Linked DNA regions of Callithrix jacchus. The protein of the gene in region 1 interacts with the protein of each later gene in a biochemical or structural test. Links are inferred from orthologs where the notes say so. Each region holds a gene or a part of one and is shown on either strand. Other genes may lie near its edges.

Evidence for each region.
Region 2: the proteins of NCL (region 1) and TOP1 form a complex in vitro, tested with the Homo sapiens proteins (2 studies listed by BioGRID and IntAct). The link is inferred for Callithrix jacchus from reciprocal best matches to the Homo sapiens genes NCL and TOP1.
Region 3: the proteins of NCL (region 1) and ADAP1 form a complex in vitro, tested with the Homo sapiens proteins (2 studies listed by BioGRID). The link is inferred for Callithrix jacchus from reciprocal best matches to the Homo sapiens genes NCL and ADAP1.

The regions. Positions count from the first base shown.
Region 1 is NC_133507.1:152,901,822-152,905,906, reverse strand, and holds the start of NCL (nucleolin), read left to right. Parts: upstream 1-1,200; 5' UTR 1,201-1,340; coding exon 1,341-1,358; intron 1,359-1,770; exon of another isoform or gene 1,771-1,992; intron 1,993-2,429; coding exon 2,430-2,561; intron 2,562-3,684; coding exon 3,685-4,085. UniProt on the Homo sapiens protein: Nucleolin is the major nucleolar protein of growing eukaryotic cells. It is found associated with intranucleolar chromatin and pre-ribosomal particles. It induces chromatin decondensation by binding to histone H1.
Region 2 is NC_133506.1:36,462,105-36,465,718, reverse strand, and holds part of TOP1 (DNA topoisomerase 1), read right to left. Parts: coding exon 3,506-3,614; intron 2,391-3,505; coding exon 2,322-2,390; intron 1,498-2,321; coding exon 1,383-1,497; intron 1-1,382. UniProt on the Homo sapiens protein: Releases the supercoiling and torsional tension of DNA introduced during the DNA replication and transcription by transiently cleaving and rejoining one strand of the DNA duplex.
Region 3 is NC_133503.1:58,060,100-58,064,348, forward strand, and holds the start of ADAP1 (arf-GAP with dual PH domain-containing protein 1), read left to right. Parts: upstream 1-1,350; 5' UTR 1,351-1,564; coding exon 1,565-1,646; intron 1,647-3,844; exon of another isoform or gene 3,845-3,918; intron 3,919-4,249. UniProt on the Homo sapiens protein: GTPase-activating protein for the ADP ribosylation factor family. Binds phosphatidylinositol 3,4,5-trisphosphate (PtdInsP3) and inositol 1,3,4,5-tetrakisphosphate (InsP4). Regulates the incorporation of CD63 and CD9 into multivesicular bodies.

The DNA.
Region 1 (4,085 bases):
GTGGCACGATCTCGGCTCACTGCAGCCTTCGCTGTGCCAGTTCAAGGGCCTCGTTCTCTCAAAGTGGTGGGATTGAAGGCGTGGGTCACCGCGCCCAGACTCAGGTGATTTTTAAACAAGTCCGGCCGTAGCTGCAGGTATCCTGGTTCTGTAGGAACGACGAAGTATGGACGGATCCACACCTGGATCTATGGATGGGAAGGATCTCAGGGAGGCCCTGGACGGAGGGAAATGCTCTGGTTTGCTAAGCCTGGCACCGACTGAGACCCACCCACAAAGCGACCCATGGAAGTCCCTGGCGGCCTCCTCTGCTCTGCCGCGGGGGAGCCCTGCAGGTGGCTCCCGACCTGCTCCCGGGCCATCTGGTGACGCTGACTTCGCAGCCACCACCTTAACTGGCGCGTAATACCAACCAGGGAACCCGTGGGCGGCCAGAGGCCCGGCTCTACGGTCAGCCCGCCCAGGCACCTCTCCCTGCCATGTGAGGCCAGAAAGTTACTTCTCCGAGGCTGTTTCCCGTGACCAGAAATACCTCCCGCCTGAGGTTCTGTGGGGTAGGGGAGGTTCGTGCACTTCTCACAGAAAACGTCGCACAGACCCGCCACTGCCTTTATTAAGAGCTCTCAGGAGGCTGCCTGGAGCCGAGGGTGTCTCCGGCCCCATGCTCGCGGGCATCAGGGCGAAGCTGTGCCCCCGAAAGGGCCAACGGGAACTCCGCGGTCCCTGAACTTCCGGCGCTGGAGGGCTCCTCGCTCAGGGCTGCCGGGAGCCGCGGCGTGAGTGCGTGCCGGGGCCGCGCGCGGGATCTCTGAGGCCTCGAACCTCAGGGCTGTCGGAGTCTAGAGATGCAACCACGCTAGAGAAACGAAGGCCGCCCGATTTACACCACCCCCGCGCTCCCCTCACACCCGGCGCCAAAAACGCTAGTCCCACGGCGCAGGCTGGGACCCGCGCGCCCACGGCCCAATCAGCGCGGGCCTTCCACAAAGCGAGCCCCGCCCCCACGCCGCTGCTGCCAGCACCTCCCCCTCCCGTGGCCGTCTCGGCCCGCCCATTCCCAGCCCCGCGCCGTTCTTGGTTAGAAGCTCGCGATTGGCTCATAGGGACGGCCGCGAGCTCTGGTTGGCCGGCGCGGAGTCACGAGGGCGTCGTCGTCGTCTTTCCACAGGCGATTACTGGGCAGGCTCTGTCTTTCGCCTCAGTCTCGAGCTCTCGCTGTCCTTAGGGTGTACGTGCTCCGGGATCTTCAGTACCGCGGCCGCCATCGCCGTCGCTTGGCTCCCTCTGGGCTCATCTGCGTCACTTGCTCGCTCCACACTCCGCCGCCATAAGCTGTCGTCATGGTGAAGCTCGCGAAGGTAAGCGGCCTTGAGTGCGAGCACCGAGATCTAGGCCTGCTTTCCGAGGGGTGAGCGCGGCGCCGCGGGGAGGAGGGCCTGCGCGCAGTCCCGGCCGCGTTCGAGGGCGCCATGCTGCGGGAAGTCTCGCGCGATTAGTGGGGAGGTCTCGCGGTTTCTGGCTACTTGGTGGCGAGGTGAAGAGCTTCTGCAGGTGTTGGGGGCGGCGAACGCGGCGGGAAAGACAGAGTCACTGAGCGCGGGGAGGGGGCGCTAGGCCCCGGGGCAAGGAGATGAGACCAGACTCATCTCGCGTACGAGATGCGACGCGTACGAGCTAGAACCCGACTCCTGACGCACGTGCCCGGGAGCGCGGCCTGCCACGTGGGCCTCGCCGCGTGGGTCCGGGAATCTCCAGAGGGAGTGGTGCGTTAGGGTGGGAAATGGCGGTATCGGCCCGAGTCGGAGGACCGGCTGCGCTCGGGATGTCTGCCCCTGCCCGGCAAGCCGACACGTGGTGGGCCCCGGAAGGTGGCTCTGCCGCGGTGTTTCGGGCACGTGGTGGCCTACCAGGTACCCCCACGTGGCCGCGCCGCCTCTTTTAGGGGCGGGGTTGTCTCGCTGGGAAAGGAATAACGTTCATCAGAAAACCAAGGTATTTTTTTTAAGTGCCTTAATGATCTTCACTCATAATTTGGATTTGGATTTGGATAAGGGTTGTAGAATAAGGTTCCGGGATTTGAAGTACTAAAACACGGGTGTACTTAGAAAGCCTAAGGAAAAAAAAAAGTCAAACCTACGGTAAAAAGTCAACCTGAAGAAATGATTTCTTCACTTCTTCAGGTTGACTTTTTACCGTAGGTTTGATTTTCTGTTTGTAGAGCCTGACAGCAAACATGTGTGGGCGGTTGAGAGCAGGACCTCTTGCATTGCCATTAGGGCTAGTTTTTATGTTAGTTGTGCTGTTTGGCCCTATGAGAAATGGATCTGAGGAAGGAGATGATGGCGTTTTACACTGAACAGTAATGGCAAAACGTGAATGGCCTGAAATGTCGAAGTGAAGATGTGATGATGTACTTGTTACCATTTTAGGCAGGTAAAAATCAAGGTGACCCCAAGAAAATGGCTCCTCCTCCAAAGGAGGTAGAAGAAGATAGTGAAGATGAGGAAATGTCAGAAGAAGAAGAGGAAGAAGAAGAAGAAGATGATAGCAGCGGAGAAGAGGTAATTTCATCCAACTCAATGCGGAATTAAGTTAAAACTACAAAATGGGGAGTTAGGACATGAAATTGGATGTCTATGATAAAAATAAGATTTTATTCATCTGCGTATCTCCTGTTGTAGTGATCGAGTGTTTCACAAGCTCTTCGTTCATGTCAAGATGTCATTTGGCTAAATATTTGAATGTGAGTTTGAGACAGATCTGGGGATCTCCTTTCCATGTGCCTCTGCAGGGCTTGGAGTGTGATTTGTTGTGCTGAATCGTTACATTTGTCCAGTTTCAACATGTTATCCTCACCCCCACATTTTAGACACAAGGGAAAGATCTGTTCTCTCAATGGCAGAGCTGGGCGTTGTATTCAGATCTGAGGATAACCTTACCAGATTCCTTTCCTAGGCTCCATTTAAGATTAATTGGTCTCTATTCCATTACACTACTCACTGTGTTACTGTTGTCTCTGGTGTAGACTGAGGGCTGCCACCGCCCTTTGTGTTAACGTTTACCCTCTAGCACTCCTGGCTATTTATTTGTTCGCTATGAAGACAAGTGAGGACTGAATTGTGCTCAGACTTCTCTTTGAGAATTGAATAAAAGTTACTTTTCCATACATTGCCTGATAAAACTAGTAATCAAAAAGCAGATTTCAGTGGGACTTTATTAATGTAGCTAAATGGTGGATTCATCGTTTTGTAAGGGATATTCAGCCTATTTGATCTTCATTTCATCTCGTATCTTAAGAATTGAGCTTCACCAAGCTTGGTACCAGCACCTACTGTAGGAGCCTCAGATGATTTAATAACAGTTAATGCTTGGAGCCTCCTATGTGTACGGTTGTGAATAATTTACACATAGCAATTCCTGTTCCTTAGACATGTAAGGATGATACTATTACCATTTTCAGGTGAGAAAGTTGGGATTTGGGAAAGTATGAGGTATGAGAATTCAGAGGTATTTTAAGTGTTCAGAAGGGTTCCTTATTCCTAGATATTCACCTGATAATATGGAGTTTAACATGGTAACGTGTGTCTAGGGCTTGTGGTCTTGAACCATAGGCATTGACAGAATCTAACACTAGTTGGGACCATGGTTGTCTTCTTACTGGTTTGGTTTTCATTTATTCTCAAGGTTGTCATACCTCAAAAGAAAGGCAAGAAGGCTGCTGCAACCCCAGCAAAGAAAGTGGTAGTTTCCCCAACAAAAAAGGTTGCAGTTGCCCCACCGGCCAAGAAAGCAGCTGTCACTCCAGGCAAAAAGGCAGCAGCAACACCTGCCAAGAAGACAGTTACACTGGCCAAAGCAGTCGCCACACCTGGCAAGAAGGGAGCCACACCAGGCAAAGCATTGGTAGCAACTCCTGGTAAGAAGGGTGCTGCCATCCCAGCCAAGGGGGCAAAGAATGGCAAGAATGCCAAGAAGGAAGACAGTGATGAAGAGGAGGATGACAGTGAGGAAGATGAGGATGATGACGATGATGAGGATGATGATGAATTTGAACCAGCAGTGGTGAAAGCAGCAGCTGCTGCCCC
Region 2 (3,614 bases), on another chromosome or scaffold:
CCTCCTCCCCATGATCTTACTGGCCCTTATCTTACTCAGGTAATTCAACTTGCCTCCAACGCCTAAGATCAAAATTTGAGCCAACAGTCATAAGAAAATAGGAAGTTAATATGTAAGCTTGGCCTGGGTAAATTCCCATCACAAGAGGAACTCTGAGGTAATATAATAAAATCTACACCTTTCTTTTTACTCAGAGAACTTGGCTAGGGACCCTTCATCTCCTTGCTTCCTCCCTACCCATATGCTTGTCATAGGTGCTGCTGCTATTATTACTATGGTTTGTTGCCCATATTCATTAAGTTCTATACTGGCCACTCCCTGCCTCCCTGCCTCCCTATCTCTCTACCCAATGTAGCCTGAACAAAATGAGGAACTGAAGAGATGTTAAAAGTTAAAAAAATTTAAGCTATGAGTGGTAGTATTATTATGATTATTATTATTTTAGAGATTGGGTCTTACTCTGTCACCCAAGCTGGAATGCAGTGGTATGGTTGTGGCTATTGCAGCCCTAAACTCCTGGACTCAGCCTCCCAGGTATCTGGGACTACCACTACACCTGCCTAATTTTTACAAATTTTTGTAGAGATGAGGTCTCACTATGTTGCCCAGGCTGGTCTGGAACACTGCTGGGTGCAAGTAAGTCTCCTGCCACAGCTACCCAAGTGCTGGGATTACAGGTGTGAGCCACTGCACCTGGCCTGGTAGTATATTATTTAAAAAGAAAAATTGTAAATGTCATCCAAAAAAATTGTTTTTACTTGTATAAACAGTGTCGCATTCTTTCTATCACCTTAAAACACTGACCTGAACATACCTACCTCTGGCTTTTCTGGTTCATATTCTAAGGCCATTTGACGTATTTACAGAGGGCAGTGGAAATTCATTAGTGACTGGGCTCCAGGAAAAAAAAAGTCCGTGATCTTGGTGATAATATTCTAAAAATTGGCTATAGAAAGTATCTACTCTCTTACAGGGAAAAAAAATGATAGAAACTTTAGGGAAAGGACTTATCCCTGTATCTTTCTCATAAACATGACAACTTTACTCTCTTCAATTTAACAGAACATCACAGCACTGCCTTCACTCTGTGAGCTTTTAAGTAATATATTAATAAAACACAAATGCAGGTATTTTCATAGCAGGTAAAAAGCTGTCAGCAATCCATGAAATTAATCTTGAAGTTGGGGTGGGAAGGGGGAAACAGCACTGATCTTAAGTTTATACAACTAAGCATTAGCTAACTATTAGAGGTCTAAAGAGGAAAAGTGTCTGATCACAATGGTAGGGAAAAAAAAGTAGAACTGACTCTAGGACTTAGCTAAGCAAGGACACCGGATACCATGAGTAGGGGTGTGGGCCCTGTCCAGCCAAGTAATACTTACGGGCTGTGAGTTCTTTTAACTGCTGTTGTAGCGTGATGGAGGCGTTGTATGTACGGAATACCTTGGCTGTTAAGCCCTCCATGAGATCCTGAAGATGCTTATTTAGAATACCAGTCTGGAGGAGACAATGTAACAGAGACTTAGGTCAAAGCTGTACTACCTGCTCCTTCTGGCAGCCCTAGGAGTAATTTATACCAGTGCAGTCACAATCGTGTCAAGTTTATTTCCCTACAAGTGAGAAGTTAGGAAAAGAATTCCAGAATACAGGGTTACATAATGCCTCTCTATGAAGTATTTCAGTGTGCATGTGTGTGTACGTATGTCAGGGTCTCATTCTGACACCCAGCCTGGAGTGCAGTGGTGCAATCTCGGTTCACTGCAGCCGTCACCTCCTGGGCTCATGAAATCCTCCTGATGCTCCTAAGTAGCTGGGACTATAGGCATGGACCACCACGCCTAGATAATGATTTTGCCATGTTACCCAGGCTGGTCTCAAACTCCTGACCTCAAGGGATCTGCCCTACTTGGCCTCCCAAAGTGCTGGGATAACAGGCGTAAGCAACCAAGCCTGGCCCAGTATTTTGATCTTAACAGACCAATAAAGCAAATTTGTCCTTCCCTATCAAGATCTCAGGCACAGGTTTTGGGTCTCCAGTAGGGATGGCTGGGCATTCAGTGAAGGGAAAGCTCTGCAGGAGCAGGGAAGGGATAAAAGGTAGGGTTCATCTACTCTCACCTTGAGGGCCTTAGCATTTGTTCTACAGCAGATGTGTCTTCTCTTGGCCACAGATTCACCGTGGGCTTGGAGGGAGGAAGAGAGAGTATACAGGATGCCACAGAGCAGGCCAGGCTAAAGGAAGAGCCCGTTATCTGCCAGCAACCCTCCCCTTGAGGTTCTGGCTGGGAATCCCTTCAACCCAGTGTGCTTTGTCTACTCACATTGAGTCTATCAAAAAGATCATCCTCAGGCTGCTTGTTCTCCATAAATAGTTGTAAGTTCTTAAAAACCTAAAAGAAATAAGTGAATCCCAATTATTACTCTTTTAAAAAAATCCTTACATTAGAAATAATCCCAAACTTACAGAAACTTGCAAAGAAAAAAAAGGCACAGGAACATGCATACATCCTTCACCCAGATTCACTGTTAACCTTTTACCTCATTCATCATTTGCACAGGGCACATGTATGCTCACTCTCTCCGCATGTATATTTACAGATATATATACATAATTATTTGCTCTGGGCCATTTATAAGTACTTACTTATCATACAGTCCTTTAACCCTAAATATTTCAGTTTGTACATTGTAAAAATAGATATACCCTTACATTTACACAGTATTTATCAGCTTCAAAAATTTACATTGATACCTACTGTTATCTAATCTACTGTCCACAATCCAATTTTGTCACTTTATCTGATGATGCCCTTTACTTCATCAGTATAGAATCCAATCTGAGGTCAGGCATTACATTTAATTGTCAAATCGCTTTAGCATCTAATAGAGTACTCTTCCACGGCCAGCAAAGTCTAATTACTGATTAAATCTGAGACTGCTGCTGGGCTGGATTATTAGTATCCTGCACACTACAGGTCTCTGGTTCCAGCCCAATACTTTGGAAAAGATCAGGTTGGGACTATGGAGCTCTAGCACCCTCTTCAGTGGTGGGATCTGGGGACTAACAGATTAACCTTTCACTCAGTCAGGAGTTGGAGAGAGGCTAAGTAAAGATGCCAAGTGACAAATGTCCTTATCAGAAAGGTAATACAGGGTGGGACAGTGACTAAAAGGAGGTACACAAGACATCAAATATTACCTCTCCCCTCTTTCAAGTCATTTATTTATTTTAATTTTAGAGGCAGGGTCTCACTCTGTTGGCCAGGCTGGAGTACAATGGATATTCACAGGTGTGATCAGAGCACACTATAGCCTCAAACTTTTGGTCTCCAGTGATTCTCCTGTCTCAGTCTTCTAAGTAGCTGGGACTACAGGCATGTGCTACAATGCCTGTCTCAAGTCACTTTTGCTGGTACCCAGCAAACTGCAGAGGACACAAAGCACTCAAGCAATGCTTGTTGAATAATGAAAAACAAGCCAGACAATACAGGCTAAATTAACTTACACGTTTCTCAACAGGGACCTTGTTGTAGTATCTGATGGAGTCCTTTCCAAGGAAGTCAAACTCTACCACGTATTCCTGACCATCCAACTCTGGGTGTAGATTGATGTGC
Region 3 (4,249 bases), on another chromosome or scaffold:
GATGTGAGGTCAGGAGTTTGAGACCAGCCTGGCCAACATGGTGTAACCCCATCTTTACCAAAAAATAAAAAAATTAGCTGGGCATGGTGGCATGCATTTGCAGTCCCAGCGACTCAGGGGGCTGAGGCAGGAGAATCTCTTGAGCCCAGGAGTTCAAGACCAGCCTGGGCAACAAAGGTAAGACCCCCGTCTCAGGCTGGAGTGCAGTGACACCATCATAGCTTACTGCAGCCTCAACTTCCTGGGCTCAAATGATCCTCCTACCTCAGCCTCCTGAGTAACCGGGACTCCAGGCCCCCACCATCACACCTGGCTAAATTTTGCATTTTTTGTAGAGATGGGGTCTTGCCATGTTGCCCAGGCTGGTCTCAAATCCTGAGCTCAAGCAATCCACCAGCCTCCCAAAGTGCTGGGATGACAGCCCTTAGCCAAGAAACCCTGTCTCCCTGAATGAATGAATGAATGAATGAATGAAAGGCTTCAGGCTGAGGACTTTCATTCTCGAAGGTGCTGAGGAATTGTTTGTAATAGTGGATGCCTGGAAGGCAGTGGGGAGAGGCTTCATTTTTCAGTCCCGCTGGGGCCCAGGGCACGAGTTGCACTTCGGCAGACAAGAGCCGGCCTGTTTTCAGCAGCATGTGTTGCGTTAACAATGTAAGAAGAAAATGGAAAGAATTTGAAAAATCGCTGGGGTATGCAGAAGAAGGGCTCCCAAGTCTGGGAGGAGGGGACATCAAAGCCAAGTTTTTGTTACCGGTCAGCTGCCATGTCAGGTCCTGGCCGAGACCCTCAGCCTGCCTGAGTGGGAGGGGTGCTAAGTGGGTCCTGTCTGTGGGTGGTGGGCGGCGGGGCGGGTCTCAGGGGGCGGCTCCACTTGGGCCCTCTGCGGCCTCAGTGCCCTGGGACGGTGGCGTTTGTCGCTTGCTGTCCGCCCCTCCCAGGCAGGGATGGTGTGAGCGCGCTGGTCCCCAGAGGGGCACACACACCTTCCTTCCACGAGCACCCCCGTGCCCATGGTCTTGGTGGGCTCAGCAGGTGCCCTCTGCGCCCGAGACCCCTGCGCGGCCCCACAGTGGGTATGCAGGCTCCGTCCTGGCGCATATGGCTGCACGAGGGTCTCACCCAGGACGTCCAGGTTTTGGGGGTGCCTCACGCCTGGGCAGGTGGGGCGCTGAGCCCCGGATAGGGGCAAGCGGCGGCGACTTCCCGGAGGGTTCTTGGGGCGCTCGGGCTGGGGGGTGCCGGAGCGGCCAAGGGAGGAGGCCACACGCCCGCCCGTCCGCGCCGCTGGGGGCCGCCCGCGGGCCTTGCCGGCCAGAGCGCAACGTGCGCCCCGGGCCCCGCGCCGGCACTGGCTGAGCGACCGCGGCTGAGACACGAGCAGTGGCGGCGGCGGCGGCGGCAGCGGCGGAGGGCGGGAGGAATGCGGAACCTGCGAGCGGGCTGAGGCCGCCCGGGATGGCGCAGGGACGGCGGCGGCGGGCGGCCTGCACGGGGTCCTAGCGAGCCGGGCGGACGCTCCCTGCCCCGGCCCCGGCATCGGCATCGCGGGCGCATCGCGGCCATGGCCAAGGAGCGGCGCAGGGCGGTCCTGGAGCTGCTGCAGCGGCCGGGGAATGAGCGCTGCGCGGACTGTGGCGCCCCGGGTAGGTGCGGGCCGGGTAGGCCCTGGTGGGTGGGCGCAAGGGTCCCGGGTGGGCGCGGGGGTGCCGGGGACTGGGCGGGCGGGGGTGGAGGCGCAGAACACCGGGCCAGGTCGGCGCTCGGGTGGGGCCCGGGCCCGGCTGCACCTGCGGGGACCCAGACGTCTCCCCGGGCCGGGCGGAGCGGAAGGCGCCTCCCGAGGGCCCCAGAGGCCCCCCGGCCGCCGCCTCCCCTCCCCTCCCCCGCCAGGCTGCGTGTCTCTCGGTCACCGTGGACCGCCCGCCGCGTTGCGAAAGCTCAGGCTCCGCATAGAAAGAGGAAATTGGGGCTAGCTGCAGGGAGGGAACGGACTGCCGGCCGAAGGGCTCTGCCGGGGTGCGGGGTCCGTCGGCTCGGGGGCCACCTCGGGGTGACGTCATGCCTCACCCCCTCCCGCCTGCGCTGGGTCGGGGGTCCGTGGGGGTGAGCGGCGCCCCTCCCCCGCTGCCTGCACCTGGCTGCTCTGGTGCAGGTGCCAGGACAGATGGGACCTCGGAGAGGTGGAGCCGGATGCAGGTCGTGTTCACCTGCCGCCAGTTTTCCTGGCCAGGTATCCCTGACTTGGTTCCTTGCACCCCTGGTCTGTGGGATGTCAAGGCACTGGAGTCCAAAGGCGGGGAGTCCCTCCCTTCCAGGCCTGGTCCTGCCATTGGCTGCAAAAGGGCCCAGCGCCCAGACCAGCCCTGCCCTGCTCAGAGCTGTCAGCCCCAGGCCATTTGTCCTGTGTGGAGAGGGACCTGCAGGAGCAGTCCCACCACCCCGGGCACACCAGGAATCTGGGGGCCAATTGCCCAAGCCCCTCGGAGCAAACCTAAACTCACCAGCAGTGGCCCAGGTTGGGGGGCGGGGAGGGGATGGAAGACCCTGCATTTGCCCCCAGGGTCCTGGATCAGCATGCAGCCTCTGCACACCTGGAAATAGGACCTGATTCCCTCAGCAATGGAGGGATCTCTGCCAGCCCCAGGTCTTGGTGGCTGCTGTCCAGCCACAGTGTGGCTGGAGAGGCCACACCAGGAGCTGGGGTGGTCAGAGGGGGACAGTCACAGGCTTTTCTGGAAAGACAGGTTGGATCCACAGCCTTTCCATGGCCTCCTGAAGCAGGATGGTGCAGGGTCTGTGCCATGGTGTGATGGGGCGGCCCCCTGGGCTTGCTCACCCCAGACTCTCCCCACTGACCCCCAACCTTTATTTCCGCCTGTTCAGGAATGCTTGGCCAGAGAGCCAGAGGAAAGGGCCTGGTGTGGGGTTGCTGTGGCCCAGCAGGAGGGAAGCTGGGTTTGTCTCTGAACCTCTGGCCACACAGCCTGGGAGCAGCTTCTCTGGATGTAGAGCCCCTCTCCAGCCACCCTCTGGGCCTCCCAGCCTGGCAGGAGGAAGAGGGGACTTCCCTAGTCTGCTGGGCCCTTCAGTGGCCCTTCTCCTCCCAGTGGGTACAAGTGTGCCTCGACCACCTGCTATGCTTCCAGCCTGCCCACCCCCCGCCGAGCAGTTCTCGCCCCCCCATTCCCCATGCTGCCTGGCACAGGGCCGCACCTCTGCTTTTTTAGAATTGGCTCATGACCTCAGTGTCTTGCCTCCTCTGTCGGGTAGCACCATGGAGTGGGGATATTGTGAAGGGTTGCTCTCATTTCTCAGTCAGGGAGACTGATGCCTTGCAAACTGGAGCTGTCTTAGGGGACGTGAGCCCCAAAGGTAGACCAGGCCTCCTAAGGCCGGGCCACACCCGGCCACTGTGCTTATCCCCGCTCCCAAGGGCTATGTCCATGGGGTAGAATGGAGGTATCAGGAGGTGGGGGGCTGCCCAGCCCCCCATGATCCCATGGCATATCCTGGAGGGCTCTGTGCTTCTTTGCTGATGCTTGCTGCTCTGGGGCCTCCCATTCCTGCTGTGGCCCGGCAGGGTGAAGAGGAGCCTTGCCGATGTTGATAGGGGCTGGGGTGACCGACACTTTCTGCTGTCCTCAGAACACCGTCCTATGCACTGGCTCACAGCTGGTACAGACCTGGACAGCAGTGGGACATCAGACAGGCCCAGGCCTGGGGGTGCTGGGGTGGACTTGGACAAGCCTCACCCACTGGCGGTGTGAGGGAGGCAGTGTGGGGATCTCTGCAGCCTCCACAGAAGCTCTTTCCAAACTCTCTCCATTATCTATCCCAATAGTGGGTTCCCCTGGCCTTGAACAGGGGGCCTCACCCAGCGGCCACCCAGAGAGCCTCTCATCTCAGGCCTGGCAGGTAGGTGAATGGGGATGTGCTTGGATCCACTGTCCTACGAGACCTGGGTGGGGGTCTCCATCCTAGGTGGGGGTTGGGGGAGGGAGGAGGTGCCTCTGCATCCTTGGAGCTGCCTGCTGAATTGCAACAAAGAACAGGGACCGGGTGTGCTTTGGGAGGCTAAGCCAGGAGGATCCTTTGAGGCCAGGAATTGGAAGCTGCAGTGATTTGTGATCACACTGCAGGCTAGGCCAGAATGAGACCCTGTCTCAACTAAAGGAAAAAAAGACAGATTCTCCTCTTTGAGTCTCAGCCCGTCTGATGCCCTGGAAGGACTGGGGTGTCTGAGCTC